Cricetulus griseus: one gene and its partner. The protein of the gene in region 1 interacts with the protein of each later gene in a pairwise test. Links are inferred from orthologs where the notes say so. Each region holds a gene or a part of one and is shown on either strand. Other genes may lie near its edges. The genes, in order: Wdr4 and Rabggtb.

Evidence for each region.
Region 2: the proteins of Wdr4 (region 1) and Rabggtb interact in binary tests that used the Homo sapiens proteins (3 or more experiments, as listed by UniProt). The two-hybrid records come from large-scale screens. The link is inferred for Cricetulus griseus from reciprocal best matches to the Homo sapiens genes WDR4 and RABGGTB.

What each region holds. Positions count from the first base shown.
Region 1 is NW_023276806.1:259,830,885-259,845,586, forward strand, and holds part of Wdr4 (tRNA (guanine-N(7)-)-methyltransferase non-catalytic subunit WDR4), read right to left. Parts: exon of another isoform or gene 14,648-14,702; coding exon of another isoform or gene 14,580-14,647; intron 13,928-14,579; coding exon 13,859-13,927; intron 13,245-13,858; coding exon 13,101-13,244; intron 6,509-13,100; coding exon of another isoform or gene 6,493-6,508; coding exon 6,336-6,492; intron 5,793-6,335; coding exon 5,680-5,792; intron 3,930-5,679; coding exon 3,869-3,929; intron 3,383-3,868; coding exon 3,284-3,382; intron 2,543-3,283; coding exon 2,478-2,542; intron 1,749-2,477; coding exon 1,565-1,748; intron 987-1,564; coding exon 917-986; intron 1-916. UniProt on the Homo sapiens protein: Non-catalytic component of the METTL1-WDR4 methyltransferase complex required for the formation of N(7)-methylguanine in a subset of RNA species, such as tRNAs, mRNAs and microRNAs (miRNAs).
Region 2 is NW_023276806.1:5,468,416-5,483,217, reverse strand, and holds Rabggtb (geranylgeranyl transferase type-2 subunit beta), read right to left. Parts: upstream 8,203-14,802; 5' UTR 8,078-8,202; coding exon 8,075-8,077; intron 7,341-8,074; exon of another isoform or gene 7,261-7,340; intron 7,176-7,260; coding exon 7,068-7,175; intron 6,918-7,067; exon of another isoform or gene 6,836-6,917; intron 6,233-6,835; coding exon 6,035-6,232; intron 5,938-6,034; exon of another isoform or gene 5,866-5,937; intron 5,632-5,865; coding exon 5,526-5,631; intron 4,885-5,525; coding exon 4,832-4,884; intron 4,748-4,831; coding exon 4,637-4,747; intron 3,651-4,636; coding exon 3,525-3,650; intron 2,235-3,524; coding exon 2,085-2,234; intron 1,214-2,084; coding exon 1,073-1,213; downstream 1-1,072. Other genes in the region: Acadm (medium-chain specific acyl-CoA dehydrogenase, mitochondrial), read right to left, coding at 13,168-13,239, 14,760-14,802. UniProt on the Homo sapiens protein: Catalyzes the transfer of a geranylgeranyl moiety from geranylgeranyl diphosphate to both cysteines of Rab proteins with the C-terminal sequence -XXCC, -XCXC and -CCXX, such as RAB1A, RAB3A, RAB5A and RAB7A.

The DNA of each region.
Region 1 (14,702 bases):
ACTGGCACAGCCTCTCAGCCAGTCTCCCTCTGGTGAGGCACACGCCAGAGACAGTGGCCCTGTGCCGGGTGTGGGTCCCTGACCTCTCGCAGCCAAGGCCACTGCTCAGGGTAGCATGGTCCCCCTCCCTGCCCTATGCTCACGTGCCCCCAACTGTGTGTGCACTATCTCAGAAGCAAAGCCAGGCTTTGGCCTGAGTCTACACCAGGTAACCCTCAACAGAACCAGACTGAGCAGTGGGAAGCCAGCAAATGGTTCAGCAGGAAGGCACCAGCCACCACCTGACAATCTGAGTTTCATCCCACATGGGAAAAGATTCTGAAGAGGTTGTCTGAGACACATAACGATTACACTTAAAAAGCTAGTCAGGAGTTCCTAGGGTGAGCAGCCCAGGTCCACCCAAAGGACTGATGCAGATTTAGTCTGGGCCAGAAGATGCAAACCCTTCCTTACTTTGTCCTGGCTACTTTTATGTCCACTCAACACTAGCTGGAGTCATTCTGAAAGAAGGAAATCTCAACTAAGAAAGTGCCCCACCAGACTGCTCTGTGGCGAGTGAGCCTGCAGGCTTCAGAGGGCAAACACCCCTGAAAGCAAGTTTCAAATCAGATCCTGTAGACTTTAGGAACCCTAACTTCTACAGAGAATTGGTTTTGCACAATTTTTTTTTTTTCTGAGTAATTGTTTCATAAAAGACCAGGTCTGGGTGCTCCTGCCTGGATGACCATTCTCTGTCCAGTAAATCCAACAGTGGTCACCTGCAAGCTCCACACCAACCAGGACACAGGGCCCCAAGTCCTCACTTGCTTCTCACTGCACTTGCAGCAGCAACACACGCTGGTGGCCTGTAGACACACCTTCCTGCACCTGCACATTCTGCTATGTCGTCTCTGTACCACAGACTAACAGTTCTCACCTTCTAGCATGGCCCAGCTCTCACGAAGATGGCTGCAGAGTCTCCTGGACACAGCACCTTCAGGAACAGCCTGCAAGTGACAAGTAAGCAGGGTCAGGACCAAACCAGAGCCCAGAGATGGCAGGCAGAGACCTAGCAGGGCCCATCCTAAGGCACAGGCTCACTATCTCTTAAGGCTAGTCAGATAAAAGCCTTCAGCCCCAGCAGCTCAGCACAGGAAGCCGAAGCTGACTAGGAGCTCCTGGTGCTGTCCCCTCTCACCCACAGCCTCATGCGATTGGCAAGGATGTCCCCACACTGCGCCATCGCATCAGTACTCAGCAAAGTCCCTGCACAACAGAAGAGCAGCCCTCATCAGGCCTAGTGCTGGCTTCACCAGTATGGGATGGGGTGTCAGGCAAATGAACACCCCTGCACACAGGAAAAACTGCCCAAACCAGGGCCCGGACATGCTGACGAGCACCCAGGTCACTTCCCTACATGAGGCCTCCAGTCCCAGCTGCCTCAGGACCTAGATGTGATCAATCTGAGGTTCAGGATTGTAAGGGAACCACAGCTATCCACCTGCCAAACCCTGCCACACCTCCACCTCCACCCCACCCCATCAGAACAACAGGCTCGGTACACGGCGATGCTGCACATACTCACCTGCCACTGACCACCCACAGGCCTCCAGAGCACTAGGGGAGCGTCACGACAGTCCTGCAGAACCCACAGCCCCTGCGAATCCTCAAAGACGATATCCCACACTCGATGAGGGAAAGTCAGCTGCTGTCTGAACACCAGCTGCTGTTTGCTGGCATCAAGCTGGAAGATGAAGACCACAGGAACGCTTTGCAGGAGAGAGAGACTGGTCACCACTGCAACCGCAGGCCCATGGAGGCATTCCATACAACACAGCTTAGCACCAGGCCTGCTTCTACCACCCTGGACCCTGAGCCAGAAGCCAAATGAATCACCCAAACCCTGTGAGATGGTATTTGTTTGCTGTCTTGAATCCTACCCCAAGAACTAACCAATACAGGACAAAGTGAAACGGCCACCCCACCCTAAGTGTATAGACCAATGACCCCTTTGGGGTTCAAAGGACCCTTTCAAAACACATGTTTCTTTACATAATGATTTATAACAGTAACAAAACTGTAGTTATGAAGTAGCATTAGGAAGGTCGAGAACCACTGGTAAAGAGGTCAGCCTCTGAGGAGCTTCTCTCTCTTCTCCAAACCTATATTCTCATTCATAAGGAGAGCTAGGAGCTATCTTAGGAGAAAATGCAGAGCACCAGAGATCTACCCTGGTATTGAGAAAGGGCAGAAAGAACCCCTCAATTACACCTTGCCCCTCAATCTGCCAGATGGTGCTAACTCTTGGGCATATTCCAGCAAGATCAGTTCTGAGTGGAATTGGCCTATGGAATCTCCTGCAACTACACTTCAAAACCAATTAAGTAGAAGATGCCTCTACTTAATTAGAGGGCCCCAGCCCCCTCCCTGAAGAGTAATCAGCGGAGTTAACAGAAGACACAGCCACAGGCCGCTGCCAGTGAAGCCTGCTGTCTTACCACTCACACAGAAGCACTACGCAGCTCTCTTGTCCCCAGAATGCAATCCTGGATGCAGCCAACCCCTGCAAGAAAAAGCAGCTATTTAACCAGGCTCTGCTGGCTGGTCACCATAGGGGAAGAACACAGGCATCACAAATCCCTCATAATGCCAAAGCAGGGCACAGAGGACACAACAACATTCTGGAATCAGTAGGAGGAGGAGGATAGCAGCTAATGTCCCTGTCCTCACACGACAGAAGTGTGTGTGTGACCCACAGCCAAAGCAACAGAATAGTCAGGAAAGCAGGGACATGTGGCAAGAGGGACTGTAATCAGGTAACTGTCCTGTGGGCTTCCATGCTTCCCAGAAGCAGCTTCTGTAAGTCCCAAATTTCATGATGTGTGAAAACAACACCTGTTGCTCATTGTCCTGGCAGAGGGCAGACACCATGCCACCCAATTTTAAGACAGATAGCTGAGAAATCTGGGAACATCCCTGCTGCCAGAGGAAGCATGGGTACAGCAGGTGCCAAGAGAGGCACTCCACGAGCACAGAGAATGCTGGGGGGGGGGTCCTCCCCCGCTGTCCACACTGACAAAGCACAGGCAAGGCTCTCGGCCAACATCATTTTCTCATGCCCATGTGTGCCCGGAGGCCTCTCTGAGAGATGTGAATTATTTTCCAACAGGTGATCAGGCATCTTCAAAACTACAAATCCTGTGTGTTTCTCCCGCACAGGAAGAAATCAGACACTGACATGTTTCTGTGAGAAACTGAGAATGTTTCTCACAGATGACTTCCCCAGAGGCAAGCATGAAGTTACCTTGTGGTCTTGATGGTCTGCAGGCTCCCGAAGGCTAGCCAGGTCACAACACTGCAGCTGGCAGCCACTCCTGTACTCCCAAAGTCTCAAGGTACCATCCTGTGCACACACAGATGAGTTAGCATGTGGGCTCAAGAGGCCTGTCCCAGAAGCAAAAAAGGCTGTGGGAAGGGAGGGGAGTGGAAACACAGGGCATGGCTGGGTGTGGCCAGTGCCCCCACTGACATCTAGGGCTCCCTTATATCTGAGAGCTAACCAATTATGTCATGGAGCACCTAGAAAAGCCTCCGAGAAGACAGGCCAACCAAGACACACGGCCCATGGCACAGCGGACAAAGGCACCAAGATGGCCAGACTCCCCTGTTAATCCACTTACAATGCCTGCTGTGCCCGGACCAGGCAAGTGAACACCCATGCACACACAAACCATATACACAGCCATGAAGAAAGTGGCCACTCTCTAAGAGCCAGAAAGAAGCTCCCTCTAGCGGCCACCCACTGAAATACTTGGCACCCTCGCTGGGGACAAGAGGTGGTTACTGTCTTCTGCCCAGCAGTGACCACTCCAGCAAGCACAACACTTACCCCAGAGGAGGAAAGCAGCAGCTCAGGATGACTGGGCACAACCAAGATGCGGCTCACAAACCTGTGGGGAGTGGAGATAAGTCACCAGGAACACAGGAGGGAGTCCCTCACCCTGCTCAGAAAAGGAAAATCCTGCAGACCTGACCCATAGGTCTGAGAACACGGCTGGGCACTTTCGAGGCCCCAACATTACATCTGGACCAAGGGTGGCAGGGCCCAGTTCTGCTGGAGCACTGTAGGGACATGCAGCCCCACACACCTGCATCCACCCAAGATGCCTACACTCAAGGTCAGCACAGGGAGGAGGAAGAGCACACTTCAGTCAAAGCAGACCCTAAGGTCTGCTACACTCTATGTAGCCAGTCTAGTACTAGCGTCCCAAGGAACCCGCCTGAAGATCCAGCTATCTCAGCCTAGCTCCGTGGCCTCTAACTGTACAGTACAGCGACAACCACTCCGCCACCCCTACCAGAAGTGCACCTGAGCAAGCTGGCTCTCCAGGAATTTCCACACCTACCCTGCAGTCCTTCTGGCCATAAACATGTCTGGAGCACCTGCCAGGCAGCAAGACTGCTCTTGTACCAGCTCTTTATAGAGACCTCAAGGTATCATTCACAAGACCCAGGACTCGTACAATATGTTGGCCCGATGGCTCCCTTCATCCCCACCACCCTGACCCAGGCCTGTTCTGCAGCTGGTCTTTGACCAACAGTTGCCATCTCTTAGGGTGCTTAGTTCTAGTCTTAGGCCATCTAAGAGGAATAACCTGTGAGGACTCTACAGGCCCAAGTCACCCCAAGTTTTCAGCAGGTAAGTGGGAACTAGTCTCCATAAGCCTGAACAACCATCATAGAAAAGGCCACAGAAGGGTTCCTTCTTGCCAGGATAGGCTTCAAAGCTACACAGAGAAACCCTGTCTCGAAAAACCAAAAAAAAAAAAAAAAAAAAAAAAAAAAATTCCTTCCATCTCTGGCCCTGCAGAAACCCAAAAGGCTAATAGGACCAGTTCTTACTGAAGTCACAGTATTCAAGTGACAGATTCCTGCAGAGGGTGGAGGAGGAGCTTTCCCCCTCCCCCCAAGGAAGCAGGCAGCATCCAGAAGAAAGTAGGGAACAGGAGCAGAGGGCTGCCTCCCACACACCCTCCTGTCCCATGAATCAGCACGTGTCAAGATCCTGAGCCAGGAGTGTGTGCCAGCCGGGCCGAGGCTCAGAATTCATCGAGTGACCGAGACACAGTGATGAGGACATGACTGAGGGTAACAAACACTCAAGCCCTGGAGGATGGAAGCCAACTAAGCTATGGCAAGGTACAAGCTGAGTGACACCAGCCTTCTCTCCAAGGCGAACTTCTGCATCCCACTCAAGAAACCAGAGCCAGCTCAGAACTGAAGTCCTTCAGGTTCTCCACCATCTACAATAACGCCCTTTCCCTTCTGAACAGCACCCTATTCGTCAATGCCTCTCATCTAGAGCCACCTGCTAGCAGAGCTCAGGCGGAGACGAACCTGGGGACCCAGTCACTTAACTCCCAACAGCCCAAGTGGCTAAAGGACGCTCCTCAGTCTCCTGACTACTTTCAGCTGGGCTGAGGAGCAACAGCCCAGGAGGTAAGCTCAAAGCAACTGCTTCACATGGCCGACAGCCCTGCAGCTGTCACACCTGGGGGAACCACAGGCCTGGCAGGGCCTTCCGAGCCTAAGCAGCTCTTAGCTGTTGGTAGACTAGTAGGGGCTGCATGCTATCAGGGCCCTGACCCACCCTCATCCATTAGACTTCCCTGACTGAGGAGGAAACAGGATTGCACTTACTCTGTGTGTCCCAAGCAGAAAGCCTCGATGCTGTGCGGAGCAGCAGCCCAGCTGACCCGGATCTTCTCATCCCGGTCCGCAGTGAGCACAAACTGGTCATCAGGACTCACAGCCTACATCACCAGGGGTCAGTAGAAGGAGAGCCACTCACTGGATGGCCTTGCAAAGTACCACAAGAACGCTTGGATTTTGAAGGACTCTCTCGAGGAGCTGCAGTGCAGCTTGGAAGAGCAATGGGAGCTGGCAGGGGACGGAGGGAGTGTCCCCTACTGTGGAGGGTCTCCAGCTTCAATGAGAGCCAGAGCCACACTTCTATACACTGAGACCAAACTCCAATGCCACCCAGGCATACCTGCTGCACTCCCCCCATCCTCCACTGTACAGCGGCAGCCAAGCCAAGCTAGGCACTGCACCCAGCACACTGCACACAGCCCTTGATCTTACCCCACCTCAGTCTGTCCCATTCTACAGACTGGAAGCTAGGGCCCTGGCTGAATCCTAGGAAGGGAAAAGTGGACCCCACTTCACCTGCCAATGCTATTCTACAGTCTGCTGCTCTGGAAGAGCCCCGTGTTTCCTCTCTCTCTGTCCCTGCCCCCACTTTGCCCCCTCTTAAGCCCTGGCTGAGCAGACAGTGTTGTGTGTCCCCCACATACCACATCTAGCAGCATGGAGAGGTGCCCAAGTTCCAACTTGCCACATCCATCAGGCTCCAGCACCGAGAAGGAGTAGACATCTCCAGATTTGTCCGCCACCAAGACCTGATCTTCTGAGGCTGTGAAAACCAGGGCAGTGCACCTCCGCACCACAGTCCTGCAGAACCAGAGAGCTGAGCTGGTTAGTGTCCCAAGTCCACACAGGCCCTCCAGCCAGAGAGACAGTCCCCGACTTAAAATAGTTAGACGTAAAATACTCTGACTTTACCATAGCACAAAGGTGTATCCCTACACCCAGCTCTCACTTTTAGTAATCACCGACTCCAAGTAACCAACCAAACTGTGTAAGGCCTTCTCTTACATAGCTTTGCTCAGCTGTGATTCTGATCACATTTCAAAGATGAGGCTAGTCTCAGATGCTCCACTCTGGGGTGGTCAATGCATTTATCTAAGATTTCATTTTATTGGGGGAGGGAGGAAGAGGGAAAGGGATTGATATGTGAAATTATAATTTTTGTAAAAATTAAATAGATTTCATTTTATTATTATGTGTATGAATTTTTTTACTTGCATGTATGTCTGTGCACATACATTCGTGGTGCCTGCAAAGGCCAGAAGAGGGCGTCAGATCTCCTGTTACTAGAGTAACAGACTGTTGTGAGTCACCATGTGGGTTCTGAGAATCAAACCCAGGTCCTCTGGAACAGCAGCCAGTGCTCTTAACCCACCGAGCCATCACTCCAGATCCTAGTCAATGCATTTTTAACCTAAAAGTAACTCTAATTCAGGAAGAGCTGGCACAACCTGTTCCAGGTTGGAAGCACCTATTGTACGTGCAGAATCAGTATCTTGCACTGCAGAAGGTGGTGCCACAAACATAAAGCAGCACAAAGGAACCGAAAGAAAGCCAATGCTTTTAACCTATTAAACTATACTATAATCCTCCCTCAGGAAAAAAACATAAAAACAAAAAGACAGACACAGAGACATGGTGGAACACAACTTTTTTTTTGTTGGTTTTTTTGAGGCAGGGTTTCTCTGTGGCTTTAGAGGCTGTCCTGGAACTAGCTCTTGTAGACCAGGCTGGTCTCGAACTCACAGAGATCCACCTGAGTGGCGCACACCTTTAATCCTAGCACTCTGGAGGCAGAAGCAGGTAGATCTCTAAGTTTGAGGTTAGTGAGTTTCAGGACAGCCAGGGCTACACAGAAAAACTGTCTCAAAAACAAAACTAAACTGTAAAAGTAAAAAGACAGGCAGGCATGATGACACACATTGTAATCCCAGCACCCAGGAGGCTGAGGAAGGAGGACTGAAGTTCCAGGCCTGGTCTTGTGAGTACTTAATAGAAAACACCCCAGTTTTATTGTACATTTGAAAGGCCCATGATAAAATGCTGAGGAAATCGGCCCTTCCCCAGAACCTTTGTTGCTCAGATGAAGGAGACAAGGGCCAGCTATACTACAAAGCATATGCTCTCTAGAGTCCAGTCTTTGAGTCTTCCCAGCCAGCAGCACCATCTGGCTCTACCTGACCCATCCCACCACCTGTGACTCTGCTGCTAGGCCTGTGCCTAGAGGCAGGAAGCTCCCAAGTACCATCAGACTGTCGCTCCCCTCATACCCAGAAGAATGTGGGCCACAGGCAATACAGGGTAGCCATGGGCCAACCTGCATCCCAGGTAGAAGGTACAGGGACAGCATGGCAGACACCTAGACTACCGAAGTCTGTCAAATTCAACTGATTCACAGCAATCCTTGGCCCAGGTCCCACAGTAAATGCCATCTGTAAGCTGATTCAGTTAAGTGGCAGTGGTTAGTTTCCTCCTCTCCCATACCAGGAGAGGGCACCCAAACCCCCACCCCATAACTGTATACCATATCCTTCTGCACCCGCCACTTACTCTCTAGGACACACACCCTAACACTCTGCAGTGCCAGGACCCTCATCACAGCAGCCCTGCTCTCCCGAGCCACTGCTGGGGCAGAACAGCACCAACACACGCACAGCAGAAGGTTGGCCATATGTGGGTCTGAAACAGAACCTGAAACATGAGGGCAGTGCTCCACATAGACAAGAAGAAAGGGAAGATGTGGCTGCACCCTGCTCCTCCTCTCAGCAGTGCAGCTGCACAGTGGCTGCTCCAGAGGGGAGCAATGGAGAACAAGACAAAGGCAATTAGGCTCTGGGGCCAATGACTCAAAACAAATGGCCTGAGCCGCCTGGCAGCTGAGACTGTGCTAATGAACTCAATGAGCAACTGTGCCAAGCACAAGCTCTGCCCAGCGGTCAAGACAAACCACCAACAAACCACGAGGACTCCAGGATCCTAAAATCCCTGAACCAGATTCCTGTATGAGTCTTCCCATGCCCATGGCTGCTACTCAGCTCCAGGCAGGAATGTCCATGCTGTTAACACCAGCCTGGGACTGTACCATAGAGGCAGCTCTGGGAAGGTGTGAGATGTGGGTAGCAATTTTGGAATCAGGGCCCATGTCAGGTCACCAGACCGGACAGTGTGCAGGGCAGGTCACTCCAGGAACTGAGGCAGTAGCCCCACTGACCCCCACAGAACATGAGCACTCTCCTCTCTGGTGGGTTCCAGAGAAGGGGGAACAAGCTGGTCTCTGCCAAAGCATCTCACTGCTGAACCTGGAAGCTCCCATTTACATAGGTCACTGTCCCAAGCCAGCCTTCAGAGCCACACTGCTCAGGTCCTGCCAGGGATCAAGGGTCCCACAGCTGTCTGGCGGAAGCTCTACCAAATTCACATCCCTGGCAGGCAGCCTACAGCAGAGCAGACTCAGCCACTCTCTGTGAGCTGCTACTGCTTTCTGCAGAACACTTTCCGGAACAGTGCGACTTCACATTCAAGATTTCTCATTCATAACACCACACGTCAAAGCTAAAAGGTGCCATCTGTCCCTTCGCAGTTAGCTGGCAACCATGACCTCCAGCACAAAAGGCCAATAAGGACCCGGTAACCCACCCAAGTGGTGGTTTCTGTGGCCCTACTACTCTGAACTACATCTGAAAAGGATTCAGGGCCATCCACATTAATTCTTCCACATTAAGACTGGAGGCAGAGGCAGGCGATCTATGAGTTTGATGCCAGCCTCGTCTACAGATAAGTTCCAGGACAGCCAGAGCTACACAGAGAAACCCTGTCTCTAAAAAAAAAAAAAAAAAAAAAAAATGAAGGCAGCAGCTGGACAGTCTCCAAGCTGGTCTCAGCCAGGGAGTCCCAGAGAAGCCTGGGGTCCCAGTGGTATGTGATATACACAAAGTCCAATACAGGCAACTGCTGGAACCAGGTTGCATGTCACAGGTATAAAAGGTGGTGTTCCTCAAGGGAGCAGGTGCATCAGATCCCAAGATCTCTGTCCACAAAGTAAAAAAACCACCAGACCGTGGAGTGTGGCAGCCTCCAGTGTGAAGGGGAGTGAGCAACCCCCACTCCCACATACCTCCTGCCACCCTGGACATACCAACCTCCCCTACTCTCTTACCCCACAAACCCTGCTGTCAGACCTCCCACCAGACAGAAAAAGTAAGGACTTTACCTTGCCCCACTAACTGCATGAACTCAAATTCCAAAGGCAGTGTGCAGAATGGATAGAGATCTTTCTATCAGAATTAAAGATCTGAGAATACTGCATGAGAAAACACATGCAAACATGGAAAACAGTTCTGCTATTAGAGACACTGGCTGCTCATGCAAAGGACCTGGGTTCCCAGCATCCACATGGTAGCCCACAACCATTTCTAACTCCAGTTCCAATGGGTCTAACTTTCTCTTTTGGCCTCTTCAGGTACCACTCACATACTCATTGTTCAGACAGACAAGCAGACACACACACATACAGGTAAAAATAAAAACAGCATTTTCAAAAAGATTCTTACACAGGCTGGAGATGAGATCTAATGCCTTACACATGCCAGTGAGGCACACACTAGCCCTAAGAGACATTTTTAAAGCAGGATAACATTACTGTGAGCCCAACCAGTGGAGCTCTATACAGCACAGCAGCTCTCAGAACCTGCACTTCCAGATGCTACCTTCTAAGCCATAGATAGCATTCTTCCACACACCTTTATCCTTGAAGGCACCAGAGTCTCCTTGTCATGTCCCCTAGCTGTGCTGTTGGCCTGATGCAGGATCTAAAGGGAAGGTCAGAGAGCTCTCCAAGCTTACATCTCCTGCTCCACGTGCAGTCCACACAGCCCAGAAGCACTATAACCAAGTAAGCTTATCTGAATGGATCGCACACTGGGGGCCAGCAGTGGAACACATGCTGAGCACCAGGCTCTAGTCACAGCACCTAACAAACACATGGCAGACCATCCCAACCAAGGCTGGCACATTAGAACCTGTGCTGTCATGGTGATCAGGTGATTCTCATGCCTACATCTGTACAACCAGAGCCTTTACTCTACAGGAGAGTCACCATCACATTCTTTTAAAAATCTTATGTGCATATGTGTGGGTTCCTGTGTGTGAATATAAGCATGTGTGTGCCACAGCACACATGTGAAGGTCAGAGGACAAGCTCTGGTAGCACTCCTGGCCTTCTTCACTTTGTTTGAACAGGATCTCCTATTGTTTGCCACTGTGTATACCAGGTTGGCTTGCTGGAGGGCTGTGATTACAGATGCATGCCCTCTATGTCAGCCTTAAGTGGGTTCCAGGATAAAGACACTTGCTGCCAAGCCAGATGACCTGACTTCTAACCCAGGATCCCATGGTAGAAGGACAAACTACCCAAGTGTGTATATATGTGTGTGTGTGTACATCTGCCTACATACATACATACATACATACATACATACACATACATACATACATACATACATATATATATATGTACACACACAAATAAGTAAATTTTAAAAAAGACAGACAACTTCCTGCTGGTGAATCATCCCTCTGTGGGAGGGCCTGAGGAAGCCTGGTCCATGAGTGTCCTTTTGTTTAATTTGTTCTGCTCTGTTTCTAAACAGTGCACATCTATTATCCATCTGAGAAGCAAAAGCACACACACACTGCCATCCTAAGATAGGCAGTGATGTAGGCTTCTATTTTTAAGCCGATGGGAAAAGGGCAGAATGGGTGTTCTTGTTTTTTGCTTGGAGGGGGGGTATTTTGGGGGGTTGGTTGGTTGGTTTTTCAAGACAGTTTCTCTGTGTAGACCTGGCTGTCCTGAACTCACTCTGTAGACCAAGCTGGTCTTGAACTCAGAGATCCACCTGCCTCTGCCTCCCAAGTGCTGGAATTAAAGGTGTGCGCCGCCGCCGCCGCCACCACCACCACCGGAATGTTCTTGCTTTTGATGCCACCTAGAATGCTGGTTTTTTACTCACCTCTTAGAAAATAGGACGAACTAAAAATCTAAATGTTCAGCTGAAGTCCCTGAATACCAATAGTTCAATCAAACACTGCTACCGCAGTTTACCTGACGGGATGAACACACAGGTCCCCTCAGGCTCCTCTGCTTGAGCACTTTATCCATAGCAATGGTGTGGCTCTGGAAGCCATGGAACCTTTAAGAGAGGGCCTAGCTGGCAAACATAAGGCCCCAGGGCAGACCTCGAGAGACTATCCATCCCTGCTTTCCGAATCCTAACATACCAGCAGGTGAGTGAACAACACTATGAACTCTGCCCACATGCCTTCCCTGTCCCAATCAACACACCCCTGACATTACCAGCACCATGCCTGTCATGACGGCACATCCCCGAAAAGCCAGCCAGAATAAACCCTCCTTCCTTAAGTTGCTTCTGTTGGGGAATCTGAAACAGCAACTAGAAAACTGATGGATAAAATCAAGCACAGCTCCACTAGCAGCTGGGTCGAGGGGAGCGTGGGAGAGGGGTTTTGGGGGCCACAGGAAAAGTAAGGCCCGGCTGACTTCACTCCATGTGCTACTGCCGCAGAAGACTCGGGCTCAGGAACCCCAAAGCATCTGTATTACAAGGTTGTTCGAGCCAACAAAATGCAATCCTGTCCACAGTGACACCCACCTCCACTCTCGAGGACAAGGTGGCACTGAGAAAAACAGCATCTCCAGAAACACAGATTCACAGCCGCCTCCTCAACATCACCACCGTAACTTCCCCCATAACCACAGGCCCATTTCTCTCCCTGAACCTTGCCTTCAGAAATGACAGTTACAGTTTGAGAGGAAGAGTAAGTGATGCAGCGTATTTATGTACCTATTGGGAGAAATGACTAGAATACCCACCTGCAGTCCTGCCCAGTTGTCTCACCCTACACCTACCTCGTCTTTTATCTTCTCCTCAGACACAAAAGGATGTAGCCCACCACCTAGCTTACAAATGTGCAACAGCCACTGCCACTTATCCAAAGCCCTGGCATCTTGAGTGTGAGCTAACAGTCCTAATCCTGTCAGGTATATGAGGCCACAGCAACGGGGAATGCAGGAAGACATATGGCATACAGGGTACTGACACTGCAGCCAGAGGAGCAGCTACACAGCCTGGCTCTGCCTTTCCCAGCTCCATGTCCTGAAACGGCTACTTAACCCTACGCCACCCCATGTGGAGGAGCAGGGCCAGGCCACCCTCCCGTGCTATTAGGATTCAGTCAGTTAGTGCATGTACAGCTCTGAAATCAGTGTCTCACACATAGCTGGCACTTCATGTTAGCTGCTATTACAATGGTCCCTGTCACCACTGCTGATGTATGACATGCAAGGACAAGGAGTGCATAGGACATCTTAATGACTCAATGTTAGCATTTCATACCTGACACTCAGACATTGCCATGGTTTTGTACGGAAAAGAATCAGACGCTTACTGTCATCAGTTAAAGCAAAATAGCTGCCAGACTTGGAGAAGGTGGACGCCAGAATCGTGTCACTCCCCTTGTCGATGGGCTGTCCGTCCTCCCTGAAGAAGGGCAGAGGAAGAAAGGAAAACAGTTAGGCCTCACCTGAGTTGCCAAGCTTGTCCATTCTAACACAGGGAAGGCAGAAGACGCTTGGTCAAGCAGGTCATGTAGCCAAAGCATAGTGACGAAACTTAAGGGGAAGTTCAGAGAACAGCTCTGATTTTACAAGCGTGAAACCTAAACCAACAGGAGCCCTCTGCAAACACACTAACATCCAGTGTGCGCTGGAAGCACTCTCAGCAATCACATGGCCTAACCCTCCTAGATATGGACTAATCCAAGGCTAGAAGCAGGGACCAATAATATCGCTAACAAACTGAGTCACAAGACCAAGCTACCACTCAAAACAATCACACACTGCTGTGTCCCTTTCAATTAGTTAATTCCCCACACCTGCTCTCAATGCATTTGATATGCTCCTTATTAATTTAAGGGACCAGTGACAAAAAATGGTTACTAAGGACACTAAAAGTATTTGGGAAGGCCCTTAAAATTATTTCCATGTTTCTTTCTGAGATGGAACTTAGCCTCGCCCCACAACTAGAAATTCCTGCCTCGGCTTACTGGTCTCACCATTCAAACCACAAGTGAGCACGATTCCCCACCATCTCACCCTTTATCTCCTGGCACTGACTTTTTCTCCGCAGCACTGCAGTCGTATGTGAAGACGCAGTCATCGTCACTATAGGGAAGAAACCAGAATGAGAGCTTATCAACACACAGAACTGCTTCTTGTCACTCTAGGACATTTCATCATCATTGAATTGGGGCCTTCTCCAGGACAGAAGAGCCAAGAATTGTCATCTGCTTAACCCCCTAATAGGCTGTATCATGAACAGCCAGCATGTTTCTGTTCTAAATCAGTTCCACCTGGCACAGTGGGGCACACCTGGAATCAGTGGACTCTTCCAGGCACCAAACTGTTGATTCTAAGAGATTATATTCTGATGTTATTTTTTTTAAGATTTATTTATTATGTACACAACAATCTGCCCCCATATATGCCTGCACATCAGAAGAGGGCACCAGATCTCATTATAGATGGCTGTGAGCCACCTTGTGGTTGCTGGGAATTGAACTCGGGACCTCTGGAAGAGTAATCAGTGCTCTTAACCACTGAGGCATCTCTCCAGCCCATGTTCTGATGTTATTTTCAACTGAGCTCTGCTCGCAAATTTAAAACAGTCGAGGCTGTCCTTACATGGTTCAGAAGCATGTCTCACCTGCTGGGGAGAAAGCCCCCACAAGCCTCAGGCACCTACTCATATAGGAATCGCCCACTCTCCCTATTAGAACCTAAGCTCCCTTGGGTGCTCTGGCCCGGTTTAAAGCACCTTGTACTATTGACAGCCGCACCAAAGACTTTTCCAATTAAACACTGAGCTGCAGAAAGAAAAGTCATTTTCCAAGTCTGAAACCTTGCTGGCCAATAGCAGTCCCTCGACGACACAAACTGA
Region 2 (14,802 bases), about 250 Mb from region 1:
ACCTGGACACTAACTACCTAGAAGACCAGGTGGGTGCCTTTGACAGGCTACATGCTGGAATCCCAGCACTTGGTGGGTGATGATTTGGAACCTAGTGCAATCTGGGACTGTTTCAAAAGGGGGGAAGGCGCTGTTCCTTTCCTTTTGCATGTAAAAGGGCAGAGGTTCAAGAAAAAGAAACCAATAGCATCATCTGTGAGAATTCTGATGCACAAGCAGGTATGTACTAAATCCAAATTTATACCAACAGTTCACCTAATCTGTGACCATCCCATACTAATCATATTCAAAGCCAATATAATCTCAAATGTCCAATGAGTCTCCAGAGATGACTCAGACAGGAGCCCAGCAGACCCAAGAAACAATTCCACCTAAACCCATCAAGTAAAGCAATTAAGAACGGATTTCCCAGCGTGGTGGCAAATAGGGTTAATCCCAGCACTTGGGAGACAGGTGGATCTCTAGTTCAAGGCCAGCGTGGTCAACAGAGGTAGATGCAAAACAGGCTGAGCAAAACACAAAAACCCTGGGCAGAGGAAGGGGTAACAAAAATGACTCAGACAGCTGCATGCCTGCAAAGTTCAAGCCAATAGTAGAGACAGGCCTTCCTAAGAAATTTACCCAAAGCCCCACCCATCATCCTCCCCCATCAGCTGTTTATGGCTTACAGCCCTGGAGATAATCCTTTAACCTTCCATCTCCAAAAACATTATGAGCTCCAAAGAAACAGCTACACACACAGCCACTCAATTGTATACATCTTTTATTTAAATCATGAGTTTTACTCATTTGTATCAGTTAACAAAAATCATTTTCCACACAATTGTTACAGGTCAAGAAGACACAGGGAGACATGAATTAAATACTAGTTTGCTGTTATGGGGGGATCAGAAAAAAACTTCAAGTAGAGACAAAAACTACTTAGAACACTACAACATACTTATTTTACAATACATTTAATTATATAATTTATCATTAACATGATATACAAAATATTAACAGTCACCTCTAGGTTTGATAAACACTTCAAATACAGCAGTGTTGGGATTGCACTTATCTTTCCTATCTGACTCTAGCTCACTAGTTCAGGCTGGATATTCACCCTCTGAAGCACTTCTTCGGGCATGCAAAAGACAGGACTAACAGGTTTAATCTGTTCTTCTCCCAGAAGGGACAATCCAGCAATGCCAAATAAGGTATGGAAAGGATCCACCTGTGGGAAGTTTACAAACAGTTAAAAGACGAAGTCTCAATAATCTGTCCATAGAATGAAGTTTATTCATTTTGTACACAATTCTAATAAGTTGATTTACAGGACCACGATGTTGGGGACAATAAGCCATGCCTGTTAGACGTTGGCTACAGGATGATGTGGCATGGGTTCTAAGGAACAGTGAGCACATGGAAGGATCGTCGTCTCCTGTGGTGACTTAATAAATACCTGGTGCCCTGAAATCCAGGACCCATTCCAGCTTCCCACAGCTCCCTACGAGCCTGCTGGGAAGGCCCAAAGCCGCCTGACAGCCGGGTGTTGGTGGGTGTTGGTGGCGCATGCCTTTAATCCCAGCACTCGGGAGGCAGAGGCAGGTGGATCTCTGTGAGTTCATGACCAGCCTGGTCTACAAGAGCTAGTTCCAGGACAGCCTCCAAAGCCACAGAGAAACCCTGTCTCAAACAAACAAACCCTCCTGACAGGGGGACCTAAGATACTGCTGCATTTCAAGGTCTCTGCTTTGCCAGTCCTTGACAGAAGACTTAAAACAGTGAGTTAACCCTTCCTAACCTGTAAACCACCTCCACTGCCATGCACTCAGTTCCCGCCCCCACCCCGCCATCCACAGGCGCCTATGCAGGTTTTACTGCTCCAGGCAGCAATATTGCTCCGCTAGCCACGTGAATGTGCCTGAGGCCCTGAGCTGTGACCAACACAGGCTTGCATTTCTGTAAGCTCCAGCCTTTATGTTACATGTTTACAAAAGCTCTCAAAGCAACCTTTGAACTATTACATATGAAGTACTATTTCACAGGCCCAGAACCATAGAAATCAGCCAACAATGAAAAACTGCAAAAATGGTACTACTCACCATATCTCCTGGTCTGTCTGCAAAGCCTCCAGTCTCTTCATCTTGGCACGCTAAAATGAAGCTGCGCAGTTTTTCTCTGTCAATCCAGTGAAGCCTCCCAATTATCTTCAGTGAGGCCAAAACCCACCAGGAATAGCACACATCCGGTAACTACAAGGGGGAGAAACCAGTTAGACTGCCGGCACTATTACCGCTCCATTTCTGTAGATTTGATAGAATTTTATGTCTAATCCCATGCTCCAACACTGGGGAAGTGAGCAAGGGGGTGTCGGGTAATGGTGGACACAAGCCAGAATTAAAGAGCCTGAGGCAGGCCGGGCATTGGTGGCACACGCCTTTAATCCCAGCACTCGGAGAGTTCGCGGTCTCCAGAGCAAGTGCCAGGATAGGCTCCAAAGCTACAGAGAAACCCTGTCTCGAAAAACCAAAAACAAAAAGGGAGCCTGAGGCAGCACAAGTGCTACAGTTCAGGCCACTTAGGCTATGCACAAGAACTGCAACCAAAACCCAGGAACAAACACTGGGTGAGGTGAGAGAAACCACTCCCCACACACTGGTGCTCACACCAACTCAGTACTAGGTGGCAAGTATACATTAACTTAAATCTTAGTCTAGTTTTCAGCTGAGGATATCAGTGTAGACTCATGAAAGCTGAGACAGGGTTTTCTAGGCAAACTGTTTTCCACTAGTCTGTCCAGGTGGACACACCTGAGAATTCAGCCTGCAGATCCTTCAGCTCGAACAATCTGCATCTTACTGAGCTCCGTGACTAATAAGCACATTAAGATATCCTAGTTTGTTTGAGCCAAAGTTCAAACACTAACCCTGCTCAGAGACTACCCGTGGGCACACCTCTCCACCCACCACATGAGATAGCAGATTATCTGTCTCTCACACACAGCAAGCCCCACACAGAACTAACTACAGATGAAATTCTGTTAGTTATACTTCTGTGCCAGCATTTCCCACAGCAAACATACTACATGGCTACAGATCAAATGCTCTGCAAAAATAAGTATCCTCTTGGTGTCGGGGGCAGCTTTGGGATGGGATGGCATGTCTAACATACTTCATTTCATTCAAGTTAAATTTTTTTGCTGTGCCTGTGTTACGGCACAGCCTATTCTGTGTCTACTATGCATGTTACCTGATGAGCCTGGGTTAAGATCCCTGGCTATCCTGGGGCTCCCCAAACAGACCAGACTGGCTTCAAATCCAAAGATCTCATGCCTGTGCCTCCCAGGTGGTGTGTTTCAATTAAACGCTGAGCCCACCCAGGATCTTTTTTGAGCACACCATGGTAGAAAATGCACTAAGTTAGTCAGATAGTACCTGCACACCAAGTTCTACTTTTACTATGACCAGTCACTCTGAAATTAAGCCAACTCTTAAGCACAGAGCACCACCCAGTCAGGTTGTAACAGAGAGTCATTACAATACCTTCTCTGGTCTTCCATTGAGCCCGCCTGAGGGCAACTGGCGTTCACAAAGCCACCAACCAAGCAAGTCAGAGTTCACTTGATGCAACTGACTGGTTATGGCCAGGAATCCTGTGCAACAATAGATCTAAAATTACAGACATAAAGTACACAGGTATAATTTAATAGTGAGTGACAAGCACTACCAAAACTATTAAGACTCCATCTTGTATCAGGGTGTATTATTTTTTTAAAGATTTTATTTATTATGCATACAGTCTTGTGCCCGCATGCCAGCAGAGAGCACCAGATCTCATTCAAGGCGGTTGCGAGCCACCATGTGGTTGCTGGAAATTTAACTCAGGACCTCTGGAAAAACAGCCAGTGTTCTTAACTGCTGAGCCATCTTTCCAGCCCCAAGGTGTATTATTAGGGTCAATGTCTCAGTGAAATGCCACACTTGGAATACAATTTAGAAAATGCTCTGTAGAGAAGCAAATGGCATGCTGACCTGGACACAGTGGATTAGGTTAGAAGGCTTTCATTGTTTAATTAAAGTTAAAGTCACACATGGAGGCTCATGCCTGCAATCCCAGGTAGGGATTCATTAGAGAACTAAAGCTGTGTATACACCACATACCCCAAACTTTACCTCACAAGGTGTGGCTATTTACAACACAAACTTATTTTAAAAAATTGCTCATCTTTTCTTTTTTGGTTTTTTGAGACTGGGTTTCTCTGTGGCTTTGGAGGCTGTACTGGAACTAGCTCTTGTAGACCAGGCTGGTCTCGAACTCAGAGATCCACCTGCCTCTGCCTCCCTTAATCCTCTGCTGGGATTAAGGATTAAAGGAATGGGCCACCAATGCCAGGCTTGTTCATCTTTCAATATAGGTTCTTGTAGGGAGACACTGTAGCCCCGCCTCCTAGGAGCTAGCTACTGGTGTGCTTGACTCCGCCTGTCAGGGCGTGGTCAGGGGAGGTTCAGGATGACGCCAGGGTGAATTCTTAAGGGGGTCTCTTCTGGGAGGCCTTCTCTCTGGCTTTTGCTTGGCCCGTATAATTTGAATACAGATATCATAACCAGTAACTTCTCGTTATAGGTTCTCTCCTAAATCTTAATAGCAAAATTACCTGGCCGGCGTGAGATTCGGAGCCCGGTCTGCACCCAAATCCACCATCAAAGTTCATACAGGACAAAACAAATTCAATTGCCTTTTCCACATTAATAGCATCAAGCTTGCCCTACAAAAAGAAATAAAATATATTACAACTACCCAGAGCACTCACCAATGCTTAATTAGGTCCCTCAACAAATTCAAAGCTTACCAAGAGAGCCAAAGTTGCCACAGCACAAAATGAGAACCTGGTATCAATTTCTCCTGAAAGATAAAAAACAGCCAAGGCAGTCATATAGATGCTACAAGTTTTCCACTAACAATTTCATTCAATTTCCCAAAGCAGGTTAACTTATATTTATTTAAAAATGGAGGCAATCCCCCAAAACATAAGGAAACCAGCTAGAATAGAAACTAACAGCCTTTCTAAGTAGCTCAGAGGACCCCAAAAGGGAAGAAACCTACAAAATGCAAGGACTATTATGCCAGTAAATTCAAGTTAATAATGTTAACACCCTATCTTACAAGAGGTTCATATCCCACAAAGCAGCTGGTCTCAGGCCTGCATTTTGTTCCACCCCAAACAAATTATCTACATTACTCAAATAATTTTTCTATGTCCCAACTCAGGTACTTAGAGTTTTGATAAACCTTTAAAGACTTCCTCTTTTCAGGGAGTTTAGCTACCGAATATTGGGGATAAAACTTGAACCTACCTTATCTTTTTAGAGTGTGGTGTGCTGACAAACCAGCACGGGGCATGCTGGGACTTCCAGCAGGCCATTTATTCCAGTTAGACCAACTGCTTAGTGGGACCTGAAAAGATGGAACAACTTGAAATCTTATGATTACTACCAAGATAAAGATGTTCTGCGTATGGAATAGCGGACTGAAACAAATCTTACCCCAAATGTCTCCAGCAAAGGAACCATCTTCTTTCTGTAGACTCTGGACATAGGCCACAACTTTATCTACATCGATGGCATGAACACTGTCATACAGAGTCAGAATCTGAAAAGGCAAGTATCCAAGAGTAGTTGTCACCAACTGAAGAAGGCCTTCCATGCTGTACTACCAGTTTCCCAAACACACAAGCATGTATCCTCAAGTTAACGCTAGTTATTCCCCCTAGTCACAGTTTTGCTACACAAACCATTGATAATCTCAAACTCAAACCACCCTCTGCTCTTTTCTAAAACCAATGTTCACCGTAGCCAGAGTCAGCCACAGGGGAAATTAGCCTCCAAGGTCTCAGCATCACTTGAGAATTTGCATCAAGTTAGCATTCAGCTAATACATGCCAGGACATCACCGACCTTGCAGGAAGGACTTCCCTCAAACGGACTGTAGTATTGACTTCTGACATAAGATACAGATTTCACTGTCCTCCCCCAAACCAGATCCAGTCACCTACCTGGACAGCACTGAGAGTGTAGAGCAGATGCGGGTCGTGTCCAATGCTAGCGCTGATTCCTCCACACTCGTGCTGGCACGACTTGATGAACACCAGTATCTCTTCTCTGTTCATTCGATCAAGTTGCCCCATGAGATCCATCACCGTCAAGCCCCAATAGATGCCGCTCATTCTCAAGTATTCAGACATACAGTATTCCTAGGGGAAGTTTCTCAAGCTCATCAATCCGTCCCACATACGACACACCTCATTTTTAAGACAGTCAGGACCAACTTTAAATGAGGCTTTAGAGTCTCCCAAGTGCCAACTACAGGCAGATAGAGCAAAAGCAAGCAATATCTCACTGTTTACCAGACACCAACCTACAAATGAAGTCCATGAATATGGAAATATAAACACTGTTAAAGATGGAACCCACGTGGGTTTCAGAACCTTGTTGCAGCTAATAAAGCATTATTTTATAAGCATTCATTCAAGTGAGAGCCTCAAGGAGGTCCACAGGACATTTAGGCCTATAACCCCCCCCCAAAATGAGGGCCTAAGTTATGGAAACAGCCAAGTTAGTAAACGAGTGTTTACTAACAACACGTGTTTGCTAAGACTCAGGCAAACAGCTGCTGTATGGAAAATATTTTATGTAAGTGATTCCCCTTTGGAGAGGTCTCTGAATTTCCCATGGGCTTCCCCCCCCCCCAACTCAGCCCCTTGGAGCTGACATCACAGGGGTGTGGAAATGTCCCCAACCTCCCGTCAGCGTTTCTCCAGATATGCTACCACTATTATGTTCAGGCAAACCTTTCCAAGGTCTCAGCGTAATTCTAGAGCTAAAGTGTGATTACACATCAGCAGAATTCAGATAATACATGCCAACACATCATCGACCTTAAAGGTTGTACCCCAGCCAGAAAGGAGCAGACCCCTCCTGCCTGCAAACCCTAACCTACTTCAGAAACGCCTCTTGCACAGCTGTCATGCTCGACAGAGCTAGTGCTCACCACCACTTACAGACTTGCCAACCCAAGGCCATACGCACATAGTCATCCTTCTTGGAGCCGTACGAGGCGATGTAATCCGCGTGCTTCTCCAGCAACAGGGTGTCGGGTGCATCGGACTTGATAGTGACATCCTTCTGCGGTGTGCCCTTGCGGAAAAAAGGCAGACATTTCATCGTTATTTACATCTTCTGCCCGTGACGTCCCAGACCCGAACACGTAACCGGCACCTTTCAGGTCTCAGAGTAATTCTAGAGCTAAAGTGGTTGATAATCAGCTTCAGATTCAGAATACATGCCAGCTCATCACTGACCTGAAATGACCGGTTTTGCGCTCGCCCTGGAATGGCGCCTACCAAAGCAGGCACGTTCCTGGCTAACGAGCCTGACGCTTCCGACAGAGCCCCTGCGACAGTGCTCCCGTGTTGCTCCCGCTTCCTCCCTCCGTGTCAGGCACAAGTCGGCCAGGCCCATCACCCACGCTGAGAGTCGGCTCTCGGTCTCTGCCAGGAAGCCCGGCCTGGCCTGAGCTCCCCGTGCGGACCCGGCTGGTTTGGAAACCAGGCGATCCCGCCTGTCCCTGCCTCTGCCTCTGCCTCTGCCGTGACGGGGCTGAGGTGTGGGCCCGGCCGGCTCCCGTCCACCCCAGTTAAAAGCGCAGCTCTGAATCAGAGTCTTAACGATTTCCTGGCATCTGTATGTTCCAAGTCATTCCCAATGAAAGAAAAAACCTCAAAATCAGCTTCACCGGGGGTGGAAACCCAGCCGCGGCGGGGGTGGAGAACGCAGTCAGGCCGCCCAAGCGGCAGAGGCTCGCCCGGAGGGAGGGAGGGAGGGAGAGCGGGCGGACAAAACCAGGAGCCTCGAGAACTGCGGAGAACGCCGGGCAATCGCTCCAGGGACCCTCCCAGGGCGGCCTCCCGAGTCCGAGGCAGGAGCATGGCTGGGAGCTCCAGGCCACGGGGCCCAGGAAGAGTGCGAGCCTTGCAGGCCCGCTCGCCCGCCCGCCGCCCGCCCCAGCCCGCGCACCGCCGCCACCCCGCTCTCACCATGTCCGCTCGCCAAAAGACAGAGGCTCGCCGGAGCACGGGGAGTCAGGGCCCGCGCGCCTGCGCACACGCGCCCGCCGGCCCGCCCGCTCGCCCACGCCCTGCCCAGACGGTGACGCTCGGCCCGAAGGACCCCGCCGCCCGCAGGATTTAGCCGGTCGCTCTCCTGCCTGAAGGACTCTGCGGTCACGATGTAGCCGGCCACGCTGCTGCCTGAAGGACCCCGCGGCTGGAAGTGTGGCCTTGCTGGCCTTGTGCGAGCCCCGCTCCGGGGCAGCGGAGGCAGGAGCGTCTGCAGTGCAAATCCCTGGGGGCCATCCCGGGCTACAGTCCCTGACGAAAAGATAAATACATCCGTTACCCAGTTAACAAAATTGGGCTCCTGGCTGTGGGTTTGATGCCTGAAACCACAAACATAAGGCTTAGTTTTCCCTCCGTACGGGTCAGGTAGTACGGTCCAGCCTCTTCATCTTACCCTTTCCTTCTTTTTCTGAGGTCCTGGGGGCTGGACTTGCGTGTGATCTGCCACCGAGCCATCTCCCCAGCCCTGTTTGCCCCTGCCAAGAATAGGATGTGCCCCACCCACCCCCAACCGTAGCTGCCACAGGTCCTCTACCCCCAATGCGGAAATGTCAGGCCTACCTGGAAAATGCTGTAACTGGTTATTTGGTTTGTTCTTTTTTGGTTTGTTTTGGTTTTGCTTTTTGTTTTTCGAGACAGGGTTTCTCTGTGTAGTTTTGGAGCCTGTCCTGGCACTCGCTCTGGAGACCAGGCTGGCCTCGAACTCACAGAGATCCGCCTGCCTCTGCCTCCCTAGTGCTGGGATTAAAGGCATGTGCCACCAACGCCCAGCCTAAAATGCCGTAAAACACGAAACTGTGACACGCTGCTCGTTTTAAAGTTTGTCTGTTGACCGCCTTCTACATATCTATGTGATACCCATATGCAAAAGCTAATCCCAGAATTCATTAGATAAGCCTCCCTGTGCAGTGAACAATGGTGAATGCAGGCTCTTGGCCCCCTCTACAGCTTAGTGAACACCACAGAAGAGGACACAAGATAGAAGGCTGAGAGACCATCTTCTGACCTGACAGCCTCTGCGATCCTCACCTCAACAGAGCAGCTGCGCTTGTCTGCACCGGCTTGCACACATCTGGCCCTGTCAACCATCAGTCATAGATGGGAAGGGACTTGGTGCTCTGCCCCTCCCTGCTGGGCACTTTCCCACGACACCTAAAGTCATCAGTTGTGTGTCCAAGGGTAAGCCCACCAGGCATCATTGGATTGCTCCAAAGCCACGGTCACATGACTCAGTGGCCATATACATGTATGAAATGGCGAAAGAACAAAATAAAGAAGCCTTGCTGGCTGAGGTGATATTTTGGTATACTGAGTTAAAATATATTTCAATATATTAAAATATATTTCTATTTTCACTTTTTAAGATGTGACTTAGAAAATTTAAAACAATCTAGAATTCACATTATATTGTTATTGTTTAGTGGATGTCTGTCTAGTTAAGCACAGAAACACACCTGCCACTGTGTAAATGATAAAGGCGTCTCAAGCTTGACATGGTAGAAAAGGCCTATAGTCCCAACACCTGGAAAGCTGAGACAGGAGGGTCACAAATACTATGCCAGCCTGGGCTGCTTGGTCAGTTTGAGGCCAGCTTGAGTTATGTAGTGTGACCCCAAAAGGCAAAGGACAGAAATAGTCTTTGTTATTAACAATATTTTTAAAGAATTGTTTATTTTTATTTAGTATTGAGAGTTTGCCTGCCTGTATATGTACGCCTGGTGTCTGAAAAGGGCAGAAGATAATGTAGGGTCCCCAGGGTCTGGAATCACACACAGTTGTGAGCTGCTGTGTGGGTGCAGGGAACTGGACCCAGCTCCTCTGCGGGAACACGTAGCTGCCCTTAGCTACAGAACGCCCTCTCCAGCCCCCAGGAGTAACAGTTCATGTTGTGAACTGCTGGGACCATAAATTACTAGCATTTAGTATAAATACTGTCCCAAGTTGGCCTTAACATGCTGACTGTATCATTCCTATAGGGCAAGAATCCCTTATTCCATCCTTGATGCCATTGATTGCAAGACACAGTTGAATTGCAAAGATGAGAAACAAGAAGAGCAGCCAGCATCCATTGGGGCTGGGGCTGTAGATATCTCAGGAGAACACTTACTTGGTTAGTGTGAGACCCTGGGTACAATCCCCAGCACTTAAAGAAAAAAAGGCACTGGCTAAATATTTCACTATTTTTAATTTCTTTACCCCATCATTTTTTATTCATGTTAAATGGAGGGAAATGTTGAAGGCTAATCTTGTTTGTTTGTTTGTTCGAGACAGGGTTTCTCTGTATTGCTTTGGAGCCTATCCTAGAACCCGCTGCATAGACCAGGCTGGCCTTGAACTCACAGAGATCTGCCTGCCTCTGCCCCCAAGTGCTGGGATCAAAGGTGTGTGCTAACAGTGCCTGGCTTGAAGGCTTTTACTGGATCAGAAGTCAACTATGAGATAGCCCTGAGAGAGGTCGCTCCTGGGAGAGGTTTTCTTACTTGTGGGGCATGGGAAGTTGTGAGGCCCACACTATGTGTGGGAGGTACCTTACACGGGTGACCCAGATAAAAGGGAACTACAGAGAGAGCTTCACTTTTGCCTTATTGCCTTTTCGTCTTACTGTTGAATTTATGTTGCAGCCACTGCCGCCGCCGCCGCCACACTCCTTCACTGACACCAGAACGCAGCTTCTTCAAGCCTCTAACACAGAGCGAAGGACTTCAGCACCAGGTGGTGATGGCCGAGACGCCCAGCTTTGCTGAAGGAGCAGGTACTGGGTGGCGAAGGCAGTGTTGGACGACCCAGACCACATCATGTAAGCCCGTCTAATAAAAGCTTTGAGTATGTATCCACTCTGCATGTTCAGTTCCTCCAGAGAACCCTGATGACTATCAAACCCTTTTGTGTATGCATGTATGTGTATACATGTGCACATTTTATGGGGTGTGCATACATATGTGTATGCATGCGTGAAGGCCAAGGTTCAATGGTGGGCGTCTCAATCTCTCCACGTTGTTTTGCAACAGAGTTTCTTCTCACTAAACCTAGACCTCAGGGATTTGGCTAGACTGGCTGTGGTGTCAACACAACCTTGCTCTCCCTCCTTCACTCTGGGATTACAGGCACACCCAGCCAAACCTTACCTCCCGTGGGCTCCACTGAGGTCATCAAGGTATGCAGCAAGTCCCTTGTAAACAGAGCTATCTCCCCAACCGTGAGATCTTCTCCTTCCACATTTATTGTGTGGGTGTGTGTGCACACAGGTGCATGCCACTGTGCAAAGCACACACACTACCACAACTTATACCCTTCTCGTAGTAATTCAAATCATTTACTGGGGTTTAAGATTTATTTTTATTTTATGTGCATGTATGTATGTATATAACTGTACATATTCCTGGTGCTCAGAGACCAGCAGAGAGCATTGGATCTTCTGAAGCAGGAGTGATAGGCAGTTGTGAGCCACAGTGCGTCCTCTTAAGAAAAGCGAGTGCTCTTACGAGTTTTCTTTCCCCCAGTTTTCTCTTTTTCTTTTTTCTTCAAGAGGAGGCCTTGCTGTGTCACCAAGTTTGCCTCAGATTCACAATCCTCCTGCCTCAGCAATGTTGGGATTCTAGGTGTGTGCCATGGTGTTCAGCCCCTTTTCTGTTTAACCAAGTTTATGTTCCTAAGTTGTCTTCTTTATGGAGGTACATGGACACATATAAGGTGTTTTCCAGAGCTCTGAACCCTTTCAGCTGGTTATCAACGCTGGGGTCATGGCCACACCTGAATTGGTAGCTTTGTTGCATCGAGTATAGGTAGCCTAAAGACCCAGAATGTGTCAAATAGTATAGTTTTGTCCTAGTCTTTTCTCTTTGCTGTGATAAAATACTTTGACAAAAGCAACATAAGGAAGTGTTTATTTTCACCCAAGGTTCAGGACCCTAGTCTGTCAGAACATCAGGAGATATCGTAGAAAAGGAGAATCAGAAAACATTCCCCACTTTGATAAATTTATTTTGTAGTACTTAATACCAAATTCACAAATTGTGGCTGTCATTTCATTGTGTTTTTTGTTTGTTTGTTTGGTTTTTTGAGACAGGGTTTCTCTGTGTAGCTTTGGAGGCTATCCTGGCACTCGCTCTGGAGAACAGACTGGCCTCAAACTCACAGAGATCCGCCTGCCTCCGCCTCCCAAGTGCTGGGATTAAAGGCGTGCGCCGCCAACGCCTGGCGTGGCTGGCATTTCATGTTTATATCTTCTGTGGTCTTTAACAGTAACAAAACTGCACACAGGCATGGGACACTGTGGAATAGTATGGAGCTTGCTCTATTTCAGTTCCTTTTTAAAGTCATGTGTGTGAAACACAACTATGTACAGCAGCCCAAAGGGTTTATACATTCCTTAAGAGTCACAGAAAAAAAATAGCTTAAGGTTAGCTTTATTGAATTATTTTAAATGAGACAAATGAAATGTTGGTTCATTATTAAGATTTTCCAGAAACTTCTTACATTTTTTTTTGGGGGGGGGGTTTCGAGACAGGGCTTCTCTGTGGCTTTGGAGGCTGTCCTGGAACTGGCTCTTGTAGACCAGGCTGGTCTCAAACTCACAGAGAGCTACCTGTCTCTGCCTCCCAAGTGCCAGGATCAAAGGTGTGCACCACCAACGCCCGGCACTTCTTACAGTTTTATAATGGAAAAAGTGAATTTTTTTGTATTTTTTTACTTTTTGGTGTAAAACAAAGTAAATATGTTCAGAATTATAAATCAGCTGTGGTAACTTAAGTTATCACAGAGCAAATATCATCCAGGAGCAGGAGTATTAAGAACAACTCATTGTTCCAATAAACCAAATTTATCCTGAAACCATGGAGTTCAACAGAGGTGCATTCCACCATTGTAATAAACTGCACAGATCTGTGTTATTCATCTTTGACTTCATTTCTTAGAAAGATGATAGACAAAGCCCTTCTTTTTCTCTTAAGCATAAACAATGCCTTGAGGTTTAGTTGCACGAGTATGAAGCATCTCTTCAAAAGCAATTTCCTTTAATTTTTAAACTTTCCAATGTGCTCACGGGCTATGATCAGCCTCTGAATTTGTGCAGTACCTTCATAAATCTGAAAGGAAAACATGGCTTGGTTTTAAGTCATGAAAATTTATTTTACAAAATTGGGAGGAAGGCTTAAAACATCAAAGGAAATGATATTTTACATTTCAAAATGTTTGGGAAATCTAAGGTTTGGTGTTAGAGCATTTATTATCCAGCTTTTCTGAGCTGTTTTTAGTTATGTCCTTTATTCTCTGTTCTTACTATTAAACATGATTTTTTCCCCCCACTGCTGCCTATTAAAGAAGGAACTATTAAAGAAGTCAAAATATTGGAGGCTTTGGGCTTTAATCCCTGGTAATCCTTCCCATTCTCAATCTGAGTTTCCAATCTCAGCCACTTGTTAATTCATTCTTGGGGGCTAGAGGGATTTATGATCATTACAGGCTCTTGGACGGGTGAACTAGTAACTCCACAAAGACGGTGACTTCCGGTGTTCATGTCTCCTATGTCTAAATAAAAAGACTGGCCTAGGCAGACCACCGTGAAGACAAAATCCTGAGGAGTTATTTTATTTTATGTATGTGAACACTTCGCCTACATGTATGGATATGCACCACATGCTTGCCTGGTGCGTGCCGAGGCCAGAAGGCGGCCTGGGAGCCCCTGACACTGTTGTTACAGATGGTTTATGAGCCAACATGTGGGTGTTGGGAATCAAACCCCAGGTCCCCTTGGAGAGCTGCGAGTGTTCTTCACTGCTAAGCTGCCTCTCCAGCTCCATCATTCTCAGTGTTGATATTGTTACAATTCTTAGCCTTTCCTTTTCTAGGGCTAATGACACAAGACTTTTCTGTTGTATGAAAATTAGGTGATGAACATCAGAAAAGGCAGACAGACATGGAAAGAGAATGAAAAATATTGGATAGTCCCAATTAAAAACAAAACAAACAAAAAACTGATTTCAAACAACAACAACAACAACAAAAACTTAACCAGTTGTCCGTGTCTCACTCAAGCAGTCTGCCTCTGCCTTGCCAAGACATCTGCTTGGGGTGTGCAGAACGAGGCAGGGGTATGAAGAGCCATGGGCTATAACTCACCCACAATGGAGAACATGTAAGTTTCTATCTTTTTTATGAAGTCACTCTAACTTTCTAATTGCAAACTTAATTTCAGAGTCAATTATCACTTCTAAAGGACACATGGCTTTTGACTGTAAGTACAGTTTCAATTAGTTAAAAAAAAGTGTCAGACAACAATCAAGACAAGACAATTGTAAAAGGCAAAAAATGCAGATTGTAATTTGAAGACTCAAAAATGGCAGAGTTAGGCAGGTGATATATGCCTTTGCTATTTACTTGGCTAGACCCTTCCCTCTTAGCAGCTACACTTAATAAAAAACAACATTCTTTCTTACCATGTGGATTCTAGGAATACAATTCAGGTTGTCAAGCTCAGTGGCAAGTGAGCCACCATTCACCCTCTGAGCCATTTTCCTGGTCCAACTGTCACTATTACCAGTGCCTTGAATCTACTATTGTCACTTATGATATTTTATCCCCCCAGGAACAAGACTAGAGAGCCTACCTGATAGATCTTGGCATCCCTCATCAGTTTTTCCACAGGGTAT